3 linked regions of the Drosophila melanogaster genome follow. Changing the gene in region 2 together with the main gene of any one other region gives a genetic interaction. Each region holds a gene or a part of one and is shown on either strand. Other genes may lie near its edges.

Evidence for each region. Genes that interact genetically often act in the same process or in processes that back each other up.
Region 1: of sn (region 2) and f, changing one enhances a phenotype caused by changing the other (phenotypic enhancement), as found in Drosophila melanogaster (3 studies listed by BioGRID).
Region 3: of sn (region 2) and m, changing one enhances a phenotype caused by changing the other (phenotypic enhancement), as found in Drosophila melanogaster (one study listed by BioGRID).

What each region holds. Positions count from the first base shown.
Region 1 is NC_004354.4:17,257,460-17,262,402, reverse strand, and holds the start of f (forked), read right to left. Parts: upstream 3,030-4,943; 5' UTR 2,929-3,029; coding exon 2,072-2,928; intron 1-2,071.
Region 2 is NC_004354.4:7,962,061-7,967,069, reverse strand, and holds the start of sn (singed), read right to left. Parts: upstream 2,928-5,009; 5' UTR 2,898-2,927; intron 2,853-2,897; coding exon of another isoform or gene 2,121-2,852; intron 1-2,120. Other genes in the region: sws (swiss cheese), read left to right, coding at 2,121-2,852, 2,928-3,862, 3,929-4,500, 4,846-5,009. UniProt on the Drosophila melanogaster protein: Acts as an actin bundling protein. May have a role in the asymmetric organization and/or movement of cytoplasmic components. It has a role in somatic cells during the formation of adult bristles and hairs, and in the female germline during oogenesis.
Region 3 is NC_004354.4:11,752,664-11,757,301, reverse strand, and holds the start of m (miniature), read right to left. Parts: upstream 3,030-4,638; 5' UTR 2,720-3,029; intron 1,654-2,719; 5' UTR 1,557-1,653; intron 1-1,556.

The DNA.
Region 1 (4,943 bases), 9.3 Mb from region 2:
AAGGAGGCTCAATAGAAGGCAACCGAGGGATCTCATTTCCCGATCTCCTTTGACAAGGGTCAGCAGAGAAAAAATATTGCATACTTTTCAGCTTGCTTTGTATCTCCAATTGCAGTCTACTTTTCTGCACCCCAAACAAATGACTTAAGACACAAACTTACACACTAAGCTAAGGACTTAAGACACGAACTTGCCAAGAAAGTGCAACACAATTTTAAAACTAAATATTTAATATATTATTGAAATTCATTTAACGCCTTCCTTTTTACTAATATCTAGGAACACTAAATAATATATAAGTTTACCTTTGTTGCGAAGCAAATTAGTTACAAATTTCCTTAAAATTCACTTTTATTTCATTTTTCTCTTTACTAATAGCTAATTGTTTTTTTTTTACTCTTGTTGCAAATCTAGTAGCATGTTCAATATAGCCCACGAAAATTGCTCATTGTTATTAAATTGTTTGCTTGACAGCCATTTAGGCACAACTTTTAATTAATTAATTGGCCGGGGGAAGTGATGGTTATTAATTTTGATGGCATCTTTGTGCGCATCTTGGGCTGCACTTGGATTCACTGAGTGCCCTTTTCCGAATCACTAAACCAGGTCAAGTCTGCTGCTGACTCACCTGATTGCCGTTTCCGCGGCACAAATAAACAATAACAATCATAATAATAATGCTAAGAGAAACAATACACACGGCGACACATTAATTGAAAGCTGAGAAGCAGCGCCGCCAGCATTAAAATGCGAAAATACCGGGCATTTGTGGATGGATCTCGTTTGTCTTTGCTCGTTTGTCGCTGCTTTCCTCTTGTGGCAACAAAAAGAAACAGAAAGCCGCGAAGACGACACTTTCTTCCAGTTTATTGCATCAACGCTGGCATCGCCGAACACACCAAATGGCAAATGGAAAATGGAAGCGGGCCGGTAGCAGGTGTCAACAAAACAGGGCAGGTGCCACCGAGCCCATGAAACCCACGAAAACCACAAAGCCAACATAGCCAACAAAGCTAACAATCCGACAAAACTCACAAACATTTAGCTGAGAAAGAAAAAAGTGAAATAAGCTATTTGGCAATAGCATTGCAGGCCAGTTGGTCAACTGAAGTGGCAAAGGGGGTTAAGAAAATTATGATCTTTAAGGGTGTTAAGAGGTGCCCTCTGTTTTTTGGCTTCATTTGATCGCTGGCTCGTGATATAACTCAAGTAAACAGAAAGTAAATACTTATTTTAAAGGTGAAACAACTAAATTTTACATTTCCAATTGGCTGTTCGCATTAGACTTATTGATTCGTGCAGCTATTTAAAAAATGTATTTGCTCAATACTCCTATATACAAAATATTTTTGGCTAAGATACTAATGAGCATGGCAAACGCATCCATGCGGTTAATACTGTAATTCAAAAAGCAAAATTATAAACCTTTCAAGGCAAGCTGCTTTAAGTGAGTATTAAACAATACAAATAGTTTAATAATCTACAGACTTTAGAGTTTGTTTCTATTAACCTTTCGTTCATAGCATCAAAACAAAAACATAAATAGTTAAGTAAATATGTATGGGAGAGGAAGGGGATGGTCAAAGTTCGGAAAAAGTGAAAGAACAGAGAACGGAAGAAAATAATCATTTAAGAAATTATACTCATGAAGATCTGTGGGTTTTTATGAAATGGGAAAGCCGGAGAGTTTGTGGGAAATTTGCAAGCTGCTTTCGATCCAAAAGTTCGCACATAATCCGATGGGTAAAAACTATAAATTATATACCCATCCCGGATTTTGTCGTGGCAACAGACTCATTAAATAATAATACGAGTTTCCAAAGATTTTTTAAAGGTTGCACTGATATCAAATATTTCGGGTAGCACTTAAAAAAATATAGCACTAAATATAGAACCATAGTCAATAAATTGATATTTCTTGCACTCCCATATTATTGTAGAATTTGCACTTGTTTGTAGTCTTTATCGACATATTACTGTAACTAATTGATTTTGGCGCTCGTCTATTTTTGCAGCTAATTTGTGTTCTGGTTTGCCGTTTTTGTTTATTTTTTCTAGCGATTTCTTTTACCTCAATTTGATGGCAATATCGCGGCACTTGACGCATGGCACCTGGCCGGATTCCTTGTCGGGCACTGCTGCACTGCCTCCTTTTTCCGCTGGAGCTATTGTGGCATATTGGGCCTCCTCCTTTTCCGGCTGCTCATCTGCCTTCTCATCCGCCTCCGTTTCGCTTGCGAAATCCACCACCAACTCTTCGTTGGATTCCCGGTTGGATGTAACCACTTGCCTCTTGCTAAAATAGCCCACATGTTGGTCCACTCCCGCATTGGCATCCAGCAGGATGCGCTCGTAGGCGGCGCTCTCGTTTTCCGAGAGGGCAAAGCGCTGCTCGAAAACCCGCACGGGCAGCGAACTTTTCCTTAGCACCTCCATCCGCTTGTGCCGCAGCTCGATGGAGAAGATCAAGCGGACGCGCACCAATCGCCGGAGACCCTGATGCGTTGACCTGGCGCGCTGTAACCTCCTGCGCTGCTGTCTCAGCTCCAATTTCTCCAGACCCTTCAGCGATTTGGGATCGACCAGACCGTGATTGTAATCCTCCACTGCTGTCAAATCCAAAGCGGATCGCGTGCGACGCCAGGGCACCAAGTCGAAGTGAGCACCCGCCCAGGGATGGAAGTTCACCTGGCTGACGTTGGTGCTGCGATCCTGCTTGAGGATCCAATCCGATTGCTGCTCCTTGGTCACACGAACGTGATCATTCCGTGCCGCTGCCTGCGGCTTGTGGCGTTTATATCGCGGCACCAGTGTCGCCTCCAACATCCGAGCATCCAGACCGTAATCGCGACGCAGCTGCTCCAGCTCCCTGCTGCTGGCCGTAAACTGAGCACCGTTCCACACGATCACCGGCGCACAACTGGCCATTGGATTCGTTTCGTGGCTTGTTCCTCTTCTGGTTTTGGTTCTATATACGTATTTGTACGTTCGTTCCCACCCCGAAAATTCGTTCCCCCAAATTCCCGAACTAGTTGACTTTATGTCACTGATTGCGTTCTGTTTCTGATTTTCTGAAAACCCGCTCGTTTTCCGGTTTCCGCTCGGCAATGTCGCGTTTGTCGCGTCCGCGCTCCGTGACGCCGGCGACGCAAATGTTCGCTGGCCAAAAAAGATACAACTTCAAAATCCGCAGTCGGATTCCTATGCAAAAACGTTGCGCCAGCTGCGCTGCCAGCCAAACGCCACTCATGATTAAGAGTTTTCTGTTGCTGCTCTTCTCTGTTATTGTTATTGTTATTGTTGATGTAAATGTTTTTGTTATTGTAATTGTGATTATGGGCTGTTTTGTTGGAGCTGCTGGTGTTGTTGGTGCCGCTTTGTTTGCCGATATGCCACTGCTGCCGCAGCTACACGCAGCTACAAATATTGCAAATGCCCATTTAATATCTACTTAAATTTTTTTTTATTAATTTTAACACACTTAACTATAATGAATACTCTTAATAATAGTAATAATTGTAATTTTGCAAATAAAAAAAAATTAAATACAATATTTACAATCTAAATGACCATATTTTTCAAAACAAAATGAAAACAAATTTACTTTTAAAAAACATTTTACCTTTTTAAATAGGAACTTGAGTGACTTCTGCGTCATTTAATACCTATTTCTTTAGTTATTTATTTCAAGTGTGACAGGATCGACAACTTGTAAAACTGTTCAATTATTCACTAACGGTCTACTTCTAAAACTTAGATTTATTGTATGACTTTACTGCTTTTTATTTGCAAGTTTATTTTCGTATTTAAACATTTTAATTTTTATCTTACTTTTCACTCATTTTAAATCACTTTCTAGCAGGTTCGGACTGAAGCTATTAAAGGTGATTTACATCCACTTTGCCCGGACTCAGGCTAGCATTTTCTCTCTGTGCACGTTCAACGTTTGCTCAATATTGAAGAGTCGCGGGCTTAGCTGCCCCTCTGATTGTATTATTTATTTATTTTTCACGCTCACTGCCATGTCAACTCTGCTCTGGGGCAACCCTCTGACGGCGTCGACGTCGACGTCGCTTCACTCGGCTGAGCACGCGTCAGCAACAACAGAAACAACAACACTGGCATGCATAGTAATATTAACTAAAGCCCATAGTTGTTGGTATTATCACCGCTGTTGCTGGCCATTCTGCAATTCGAGTTCACAATTCTATTCTCGGCTAATTGACGGCATCGGGCCATTGGCATTGTATTGGCCAAATTAACCAACAATTGCGACAGTGAAATAGGCCCTTTTATAGTCCACATATATAGTACAAATATAGGTTCATAAAACAATACTTGAAACGAATTAATCATATCTCTTAACTATAATTTCACGTTGATCTATTGGAAAATATTTTTATTATTTATCTGTTCATGAATTGTTGAAGATGTTATAATATATTTTATCCTATAACTATAAAAAGAATTATTTAAAATTACGTTTGTAAATATTTTAAATATGTAAATATTTTTTGTAAAACATATTTGTTATAGTACATAATAGTCTTTATAATTATTTCAGCTACTTAAGGCCAATTTCATCATCGTTTTCCATTTGCCTTGATCGAAGTTTAGCTAATTTCTATAGAAAATATGCAATTAAGTTGCAAAATATCCGCCTAGTGTTTATAGTTCTCATTGCCTTCTAAATCATTTGCCACACGAAGTGCCTATTGTACTCGAGGCATGCCAAATATCAATTATGCTATATACTTTATAGTATGTAACTATATAGAGTTTGTGCCCCTAGAACGGGCTCAACTCAGGCGTGGCGAATGTAAATGAATTGGGGCTGGCTTGCAGCTTCTTGAGTGGCAATTGAGCAACTCCACCTGCGCGCTTTTCCTCCGTACTTTTCCACCCGGCTTTTCCAGCTGTGTGACTCATGAAAAGCGTGTGCA
Region 2 (5,009 bases):
TTTTTGTGACAACATCCATAAAGATTAGGTCCCCTGATAAAAATCACAGAATGAGCGATAAAGCAGACCTAAGTAGTTAAAGTAAAGTAAACAGACATTATTCAAGAAAACCCACTTGAGTATTGAGAGCAAACACCTGTTAGAAAATTCCACTGTATTTTGTATGCGATTTTTTAATGTGTAATCCCATTATCTTTATGGAAATTTTTCTAAAAAAAAATTTTTACAAAATGTTAGCTTGACGAATAAATGTCGGCCAGACATCATAGGTTAAGTACTTAGATTTATAGGTAGAAGAATCGAAATAGTCGCTGTTCCTGACTAGTTTACCATAACTTAGTTCTAGTAAACCCTATCAGCGGATTGAAGTTTAGACCCCAGCTAAAGTTTAGAACGATACAGGCTAAGGCAAGTGTGGATTTCAGGACTCTAATCTCTCTTAGAACCCAGCCAAATGATAAGAAAAGAGAAAAACCGGAAGAGAAAAGGGGAAACTTCCGTGTTTTCATTTGTCGCCACAAATCGAAATTGTTTTGTGGCCTTACATAAAACAAAACGAATGAAAAACAAAAACCACTGACTACAGTAGCCACATGATAACACCACACGACCATAGTATTGATAATGACACCCAGGCGACCCCGAAGCAAGCAAAAAAAAAAAAAGAAAAACTAAACCACCCGAGCTGATAACTATGATAACCGATTGCTAATCAGAAGCACGTGCAATCGTGGGCGGGGGGTGCGTACGAAATCAGTTTTCAATAATTCAATTAACCCCTTGGGGCCAAATCAATTTAGCCGCCTTGTGACTGCGCGAATTTTATCATTATCGTGTTGTTATGCGAGTGTGTGTATGTGTGTGCTGTCCGATTAGATCAAAGCAAATCCAATTGGATAAGTGCGTGTGTGGCGCAGCTTCGGCTTCCAATTAGACCGACTGAGTCAATTGGTATTTATGGCATTTTTTCTTGTACATTTTGCAAACCTGTTGTAAAAATAAACTGTAAACAAACAATAATTGCTGGGGGTAATAAAAGACAAACAGTAAGGTGCACAGTGAGAAAGAAAATGTGCAACTTATAGATTAAAAAAAAATGTTTATTTCTATCGAAAGAAATCGAAACTACGCCACTATAATTAACGTTTAATGAAGTGCGAGAAAACGCTACATTTTTCGCGCTGTGTAGTATCAAATGCGGAAACTGCAGACAATAACAAATGGGTAGCAGCAACAACAAATTGCCCGAGAAACTACTGCCACAACAAAAACAGCAAATGCAACAACAACAACCGCATCGAACAAGAACAACTCACTCAGAACCGCTAGCAACAAACAATAAAACAAACATACATACATACATACATACATATGTATGTGCAGCGACGTTGCGTCGCCGTTTCAATGTCAAAGTGCCGAGTGCAACAACAAGATTTAGGGAAAATAACAACAAAACACAGCTGATGCACTTGATTACACGGGCGTGACACTTGCTTTTGGGAAATTCCAAGTGTCTTCGTGCTAAATAATTCATCCTAAATAACTGGGCGACGTGGAAAATACGAAATGAAAATCATATTGGAGACGACATCAAAAACCCTTATATCCTTTCGTTTCAATGTCATAAGCTGAAGAAGAATGGGAAACTAATTAACCAATTAATTAATAATTAAGAAACGTGATTTAGCAAAGGAGTTGGCACATTAGTACAAGAATTCACATTTTTTTGTTTTGCATTTCAGCAAAAGTGAAAAACCATATAGAATCAAAAGCATATTATATCATAGTTAGATTACCCTTTCATTTTACTTCAAAAACACTTTCAAACACTTCAAACACTTTTAGTTCAATTTTAGATCAAGAATAACAAAAAAAAAAAAAAAAAACATTTTCTTATATATATATATAGATTTTCTTTATATTAGCCTTTAATAGCTCTATTAAGAATGTTAAGTTTGGAACCAGCTCGATATGACATCGATTTCAACTTCCGAGGAAATCAGACAGTTTTCACGTGGTTGCAGCAAAGAGTTCTACCAAACTCCACAGCCATTATAATGAAGGCCTTTGAACTGAGGAATCAACTAATTGCGCGCTATCTTATACAAATTCCTTTGCAGGTGTACATGTATTTCGCCCTGGTAATGATGAGCCTGCTCTTCATAGCCTGGTTCTTATACTTCAAACGAATGGCACGTTTGCGTTTGCGCGACGAGATTGCCCGTTCCATTAGCACCGTAACCAATTCATCCGGCGATATGCGTGGCCTGCGTTTCCGGAAGCGTGACAAGATGCTATTCTACGGCCGTCGAATGCTGCGCAAAATGAAGAACGTGAGCGGTCAAATGTACAGCAGCGGTAAGGGCTACAAGCGTCGTGCTGTCATGCGTTTCGCGAGAAGGATACTCCAGCTGAGGCGGGATAATATGCCGCTAGAGATGCGCACCGTGGAGCCGCCAGCCGAGTATCTGGAGGAGACAATCGAGGGCAGCGATAGAGTTCCGCCCGATGCACTCTATATGCTCCAGAGCATTCGCATTTTTGGACATTTCGAGAAGCCGGTCTTTTTGCGGCTCTGCAAGCACACCCAATTGCTGGAACTGATGGCCGGCGACTATTTGTTTAAGATAACCGATCCGGACGATAGCGTCTATATCGTTCAATCGGGCATGATCAATGTGTACATCTCCAATGCCGATGGCAGCACACTATCATTGAAGACGGTCAGGAAGGGCGAGTCGGTGACATCGCTGCTCAGCTTTATTGATGTCCTGTCGGGGAATCCCAGCTACTATAAGACGGTCACCGCCAAAGCCATTGAGAAATCGGTGGTCATTCGTCTGCCCATGCAGGTAGTTTATCTAACTAAACTAAATGTTCATTGAACACTCACTTACTTCTTATTTTTTTCCTCCTTGCTTTGGCAGGCATTCGAAGAGGTGTTCCAGGACAATCCGGACGTAATGATTCGCGTCATCCAGGTGATTATGATCCGGCTACAACGCGTACTGTTCACCGCTTTGCGCAACTACCTCGGTCTAAATGCCGAACTGGTGCAGAATCACATGCGCTACAAGAGCGTATCCACAATGAGTGGACCGATTAACTCGCAGACCTCGCAATCCTCACGCCAGGCGCCCAATGGGCCGCCCATGGTGATCAGCCAGATGAATCTGATGCAGTCCGCTGTTTCGGGAACGGGATCATCGGGTGTCTCGGTGACCGTAACTCGACCACCATCCTCGCCATCGCGACACTCGCGCGAGGAGCACACGCTATCCGATCCGAATCCAAATCCGGATGGTAGTTTTCACGGCACTACCAATCTGTTCACCGAGGTGCATGGCGATGCGCCCAATGCAGATCTATTCCATCAGCAGCAGCAGCAGCATTCGGTGGGCAACCTATCCACGCGTCGCAGTTCCATAACTCTGATGGCACCCGATGGTTCGCACTCGTGTCTACAGACACCCGGTGTGACAACCTCGATAGACATGCGCCTGGTGCAATCCTCAGCGGTGGACAGCCTACGCAAGGAATTGGGTCTGTCCGAGGAGGATTCCCACATCATTGAGCCTTTTGTAGAGTTAAGGGAACTGGAGCCGAATGTCACCCTGATTACGGAGGGCAATGCGGACGATGTTTGCGTTTGGTTTGTGATGACGGGCACATTGGCTGTTTACCAGAGCAATCAGGATGCCACGCGGGCCAAGCAGGATAAGAGCGACATGCTCATTCACTTTGTGCATCCCGGCGAAATCGTTGGTGGACTGGCCATGCTAACGGGAGAGGCCAGTGCGTATACCATTCGATCGAGAAGCATCACCAGAATAGCCTTCATCCGACGAGCAGCTATTTACCAGTAAGTTTGGGCGTTTACATAATGAAGTAAAATGATTGCTTTATGATTGCTTTATTTCCTCGACAGGATCATGCGACAACGACCACGCATTGTTTTGGATCTGGGCAACGGAGTAGTACGCCGTCTATCGCCTCTGGTGAGGCAGTGTGACTATGCCTTGGACTGGATCTTTCTGGAATCGGGCAGAGCTGTCTATCGGCAGGACGAGAGCAGCGACAGCACATATATTGTGCTTAGCGGGCGAATGCGTTCGGTTATCACGCATCCTGGTGGCAAAAAGGAGATCGTCGGCGAATACGGCAAGGGGGATCTTGTGGGCATCGTTGAAATGATCACGGAAACGTCGCGCACCACGACGGTGATGGCTGTGCGCGACTCGGAGCTGGCCAAGCTGCCCGAGGGCCTGTTCAATGCCATCAAGCTGCGCTACCCCATCGTGGTGACCAAGCTGATTAGCTTCCTTAGCCACCGCTTCCTCGGCTCGATGCAGACGCGCTCGGGCAGCGGGGCGCCGGGCGCGCCCGTCGAGGCCAATCCCGTCACGCACAAGTACTCCACGGTGGCCCTGGTGCCCATCACCGACGAGGTGCCGATGACGCCCTTCACCTACGAGCTCTACCACTCGCTCTGTGCCATAGGTTCGTATAAAGCTAGTGAGCGCTCCAATCTGTGGGACAATAGTACTATCTATACATTATTATTTGTCATTGATTAAGAAGAATGAAAGGGATATATATGTCTCTGTAGCTATACAAGGTTCTATGATAGTTAAATGTTCACTTTAAATATAAAAACTATGAAAAGGTAATAAGAGGACAAAGTCCCAGGCATAGCGAGATTTCAGCATATAGAATCTTTTACACTTCTTTTCCGCTAAGATTTATTCAGAACACGATGGATAAGTCCGGTAACGTTTCACATTGCTGCACTGAATCTCCGATATAACCGCCAATTGTAACGTTTCTCTTCTGTTTCTCGCTCAGGACCCGTTCTCCGTTTGACCTCCGATGTGGTGCGCAAGCAGCTGGGCTCCAACATCTTTGAGGCAGCCAACGAGTATCGTCTAACCTCGTGGCTGGCGCAGCAGGAGGACCGAAACATCATCACCCTCTATCAGTGTGACAGTTCGCTGAGCGCGTGGACACAG
Region 3 (4,638 bases), 3.8 Mb from region 2:
TTTGACCAAGTTGAGGGAAAACTTGTAAGAAAACTCTACGGATTGTATTAGTTGAATATTTACTTTTGACCGCATTGTTCTTTTTGTAAGCTCAACTCAACAACATTCCTAAGTGTTTGAGATATCTTAGCTTGATGAGCCCCATTGGGTCGATCAGCACTCTCACTTTTCTAACCGTTTCGTTGGGCCAAAGATGCACTAAAGGCCGAAATGTGCCACGAAAAGTTTCCATTTCATTATGGAATGTTTGTAGAAAGGCAAAGAACAGTTAGACGACGAGACGCCGGCATCTCAAGCTCAATAGACCCCCCTCCCCACCACACACACACACACACTATATTTTCCAGTGTCCGAAGTATCTTTGATGTTGGCTGAATACAAATTAACATTCTGTGAAAGAAAAGACTTGTCGACGAGGTTTTATCTTGTATCCGCATCTGCATATTGTACACGTCTTCGTATCTCTGTATCTGTATCTACTGTATTCATGTATCTGCTGCTTCTACGATGTATCTGCAAATGTGGATATGGTATATGGATGTGAAAGAGCACTGGGAATAGAATTTACTGGGTCGATCGCGGCAGCAGCTCATAAATTATGCGTCATCGATGAGTGGAGTCGAGGGGCACGGGAACAATGAATGAAGAAACCAAGGAACAGAATCAGACCTTGAATCGAAAAGTGTTAGGCGGTAAGGTAAAGCCGCTTAGGGTCCCACCAATAATGGTTAAAGCCAATCATTTGAGGCCAAACAAAGAGATAGTCCAGCGTGGAGATAGCTGCCGTTGTCCGATATACTGATTCCCAATAGCGATTCCGAATGCGAATGCGAATTGCGACAACGAGACTTGCAACTTGCTGGTTGCAACCTGGCAACTTGCATTTATGGCCAAGTCGCGTGTTTGTTTGCTGCTGCCAATCTGGCCTCCTGGAATTGAGTTTATTGTGCCACAGCGGCGTGCTTTGGATTGTCGCATCAGCTTAATTAGAATTCGAAGTAGTTAACGGTGCATTTAATGCGCTCCAAAACGGATCAAATGCATTTGCACCGCTACCACTCACTTCTCCATCTACTTGGCCCCGTATCTGTGCAAAGATCTGTTCTATTTATCTGCTCTTCGCAGACTAATGAACCAAGTGCCAAGTGACGAAAGTTGTCATAACATTTCATTTGCTGCCTGTCGCATTGCCACACGGTTTAATGGTGGCAATGTGGCCAGTAAAAGATGTCAAAACAGTATGCTAATAAACGTGCTTTTGGCACTCTTATCCTCGCATTATCTGTCTGGCTTGTATCGAACATCGTCGTCTGGCTTGTTTAATTAATAAGCACATACTTTACATCCTTTGATTTAAGTTTGCTGGGGAATCTGATATTAAAAGCTTTATGGCCAGATAAAGACCACCAATAGTTGACTGCCTTATAAGATACAACGTGACCACAATTTCTTTTAAGAATCCTTACAGAGCAAGCTTACTCAACTATATTCTATTCTATATCTTACCCACTAAGTTTAGTAGTTTCAATAAAATATAGATAATGTGTGTAACTCACCGATAAGTTGTAATCTTTCCGAAGGTCAAGACACAGCTGAGTGTGTTACAGCTGCTCTGGACTCCTTATATTTCCGTTCTTTTGTGAAATCCCGGCTCTGCGTTTGGCAAATGCATTAAAATGTGAGTGAGGCACAAACAACAACAAAAAAAATAGCTAAATGGTGTAGCATAAAAATGTACAAAGCTGAGGAGGACAGAAGTGAAATCGGAACAGAACGGACCAAACCGAACCGGACCGCCTAACACGTAACGCAAATAAAGAAGAATCATCATCGTCATCAGAGACTTTTCAGTCCGAGTGAAGTCCGTGCTCATGGCGACTGATTGATGATTAGTTGCCATTTGACAGGTGTATGCGAGTTGTGCGGGGTGGCCGGGGACAGGGTGTGTGGGGGGGGGGGGGGTTAGAGAATTGGGGGCTTTGGAGTTCGGTCAATAAATAGTGCACCTGCTGGGCGTGTGGGAATACGATCCGCCAGATGACGTTGCTCTTTTTTATGGAACTCTAGCGTCTCGCGTCTCGTCTTCTTGGTACGTGTGATTGTTATGACTAACTATTATTATGTATGATTGTTATATTTTCCACACGGGAAAAACTTTGGAAAGTGCCAGCCGCCAAGGCGCAGTGCATGCAATACCTTTGATTTTGATTTCGATTCTGGCCAGGCTGAGAAGACACCACTCTGCTGGCAAGAGGTGCAGCAGAAGAATCAGTGGCAAAAGACGTGGACGCAGGGGCGCACAAGAAGCGGAGGCAACAAGCCAGCCGCATTTGTGCTAATTGGGAAAATTAGAAAGCATGAAATGCTCGGCTGCATTTGCTGTCTAGCTGGTTAATCGGCTCCACTGTCGGTCCAAGAAGACGAGGCAGAAGATGCTGGAAAGACTAAGATTGGATGTTTCACAGAACTCAAGCAATGCAATTGGCTCTGCGGAGAGAGGAATACGAATAAGATGCAGGAATGACAGATCCTGGATAAAGTCTTCACAGGAAGCAAAAGAAATAGACTTAAGATGTTGGAAAGCCGTGGACTGGCTTCTCCAAAGAATAGAATAAGTTTCTGGTTGCAAATCGTGGATATTTCACACAACTCTAAATTCAAATTGGCAATATGACAAAAACAAAAAAATTATTTGCTTTTGGATGGAAGAAACACTCACTTCGCGGGAACGTTTCTTCTCAACTCTCTTCTCGTTCTTTCTCGGTATCTTGCTAAGCTTAAGCAAGTAACGGTAACAGGCAGTGGCAACAACAAGAACAATAAAAAAAAATTGCACTAACACTTGTAAGCACTTCGGGTGGTGTTACTTATTTGATTTTCTATTTTATTTGAAATTTATTTATTTTATCAACATTTGTTGTAGGCGCGACTGGGCAGCACACTGGGCATCGGATCACGGATCACGATCACCGATCACGACCGTTAGCAGCAGCAGCACGTGTGGACTCGGCGAGCGACGAACGCGAAATACGCGAGCCAGCCAGGCGATACTTTCTTTGGCCTCGTAATGTAACTGTCGGGAACAGCAGCCGCAGCAGCAGCCGAAGAAAGAGGCAACAGCAGCAGCAGCACAAGAAGAAGAAGAAGCAGCAGCACAAGCACAGAAGAGTGAGCAAAAGAGAAAGGGGGAGAGAGGCAGCGCAAGAAGCTGGCAAAGCTAGACACGCACACACACACACACACACACACAAGCACACTGAGAGAGTAGCTCTGCCTGCGCCGACTGCGACTGCGCAACGAGCTTTTTACACCTGCGTTGGCAGCTGCGCAAATGAGCACAGCTCAGCCAGAACTTGTTGTTGTTATTGTTGCGATTGTTGTTGTTGTTGTTGGTGGCGCTAATCAAGCGGCCTAATGACATAGAATAGCCTGCCAATTAGACGACCAATAAAAAGAAACTTACATCTAGCACTTCAATAAAAATACATTCGAACGCCCACTCAATCAGCAGAAGATCGCGAGATTTTGAAAACTCCTCCTGCAGGAAAATGGCAACGCAGTGGAAAGCTGGCAGCGCAGCCGACGTTGACGTCGGGAATTTGGCGCACTTGAACTTGAACTTTCGGCGCGCTCGTTTCGTAGAGAAGCTTTCGACTTAATGGATACCCCTAAGTGTTCCCCATACATTAAATGATTGCATTATGAAACACGTAATAGGATTATAAGAAAATCTCGATGAATTTGAAGCTTATATTTATTTAAAATAATTTAATTATGAAACGTAAAAAACTCTTCAAAAGTAATAATTAAAATGTAAACACCTTGATACCATTCATGAAAAGTATAACGATTAATAACAACTTCATACCTTATCCGAAAAATACTGCACGCATGCAGGGCGAAATATTGTAGCCAGCTTTTCAGGTGGGCAAGGTGCATAAGTTAGCGTTTTGGGTCTGGGAACCGATCTGCCGGCTCATAACGGTTAAACAGTTTTCGCCCGTCGTTGACAACTAATCAAGATGGGAACAGAAGTTGATCAGAGCTGATTTGAGCAATAAACAAAAAAAAAACAAAATCCGTTTCCTCTTGCGATCTTAAGCTCTATCTCTCTTTAGCACACATCGGAATTGGCAAGCTTACACATACATTTGCACGCCAAGAATCTGCAACGGTTTCCATGCTGGCTCTTCTTTTCCTCGTTCTTCTTCTTCCTCTTGGTCTTCTACTTGGCAGCTGCTTTTCTCCATATTTGTTGTTAGTGTTTGAGAGGCTGCTCCTCGCTCCACACTCGCTCTCTCGTTCTCCCTGTCTCTCTCCGTCTCTTTCCCACGTGCTGGGTCTATCTCTCTTTGTAGACTGGGCGCATTTAAACGGTAAACATCATGAATGCATTTGGAAAGTGGTTGTGTTGTGGTTCGTGGTGTTTGCATTTTGCATTTCTTCGCATTCTTTTCTGTTTATGTGGCTGTTGCTGTGTGTTGCATCGCACAATTGTGCCAACAACAAGGCGGAGAAATGTGAAGAGCCAGAAGAATCAGAAGAGCCAGCGGCAGAAGCAGAACAACAGCAACGGTAATACCCACCGAAGACGGCGTTTTCATTTCTGAGAATTGATTGGCCGTCGGGCCTACATAC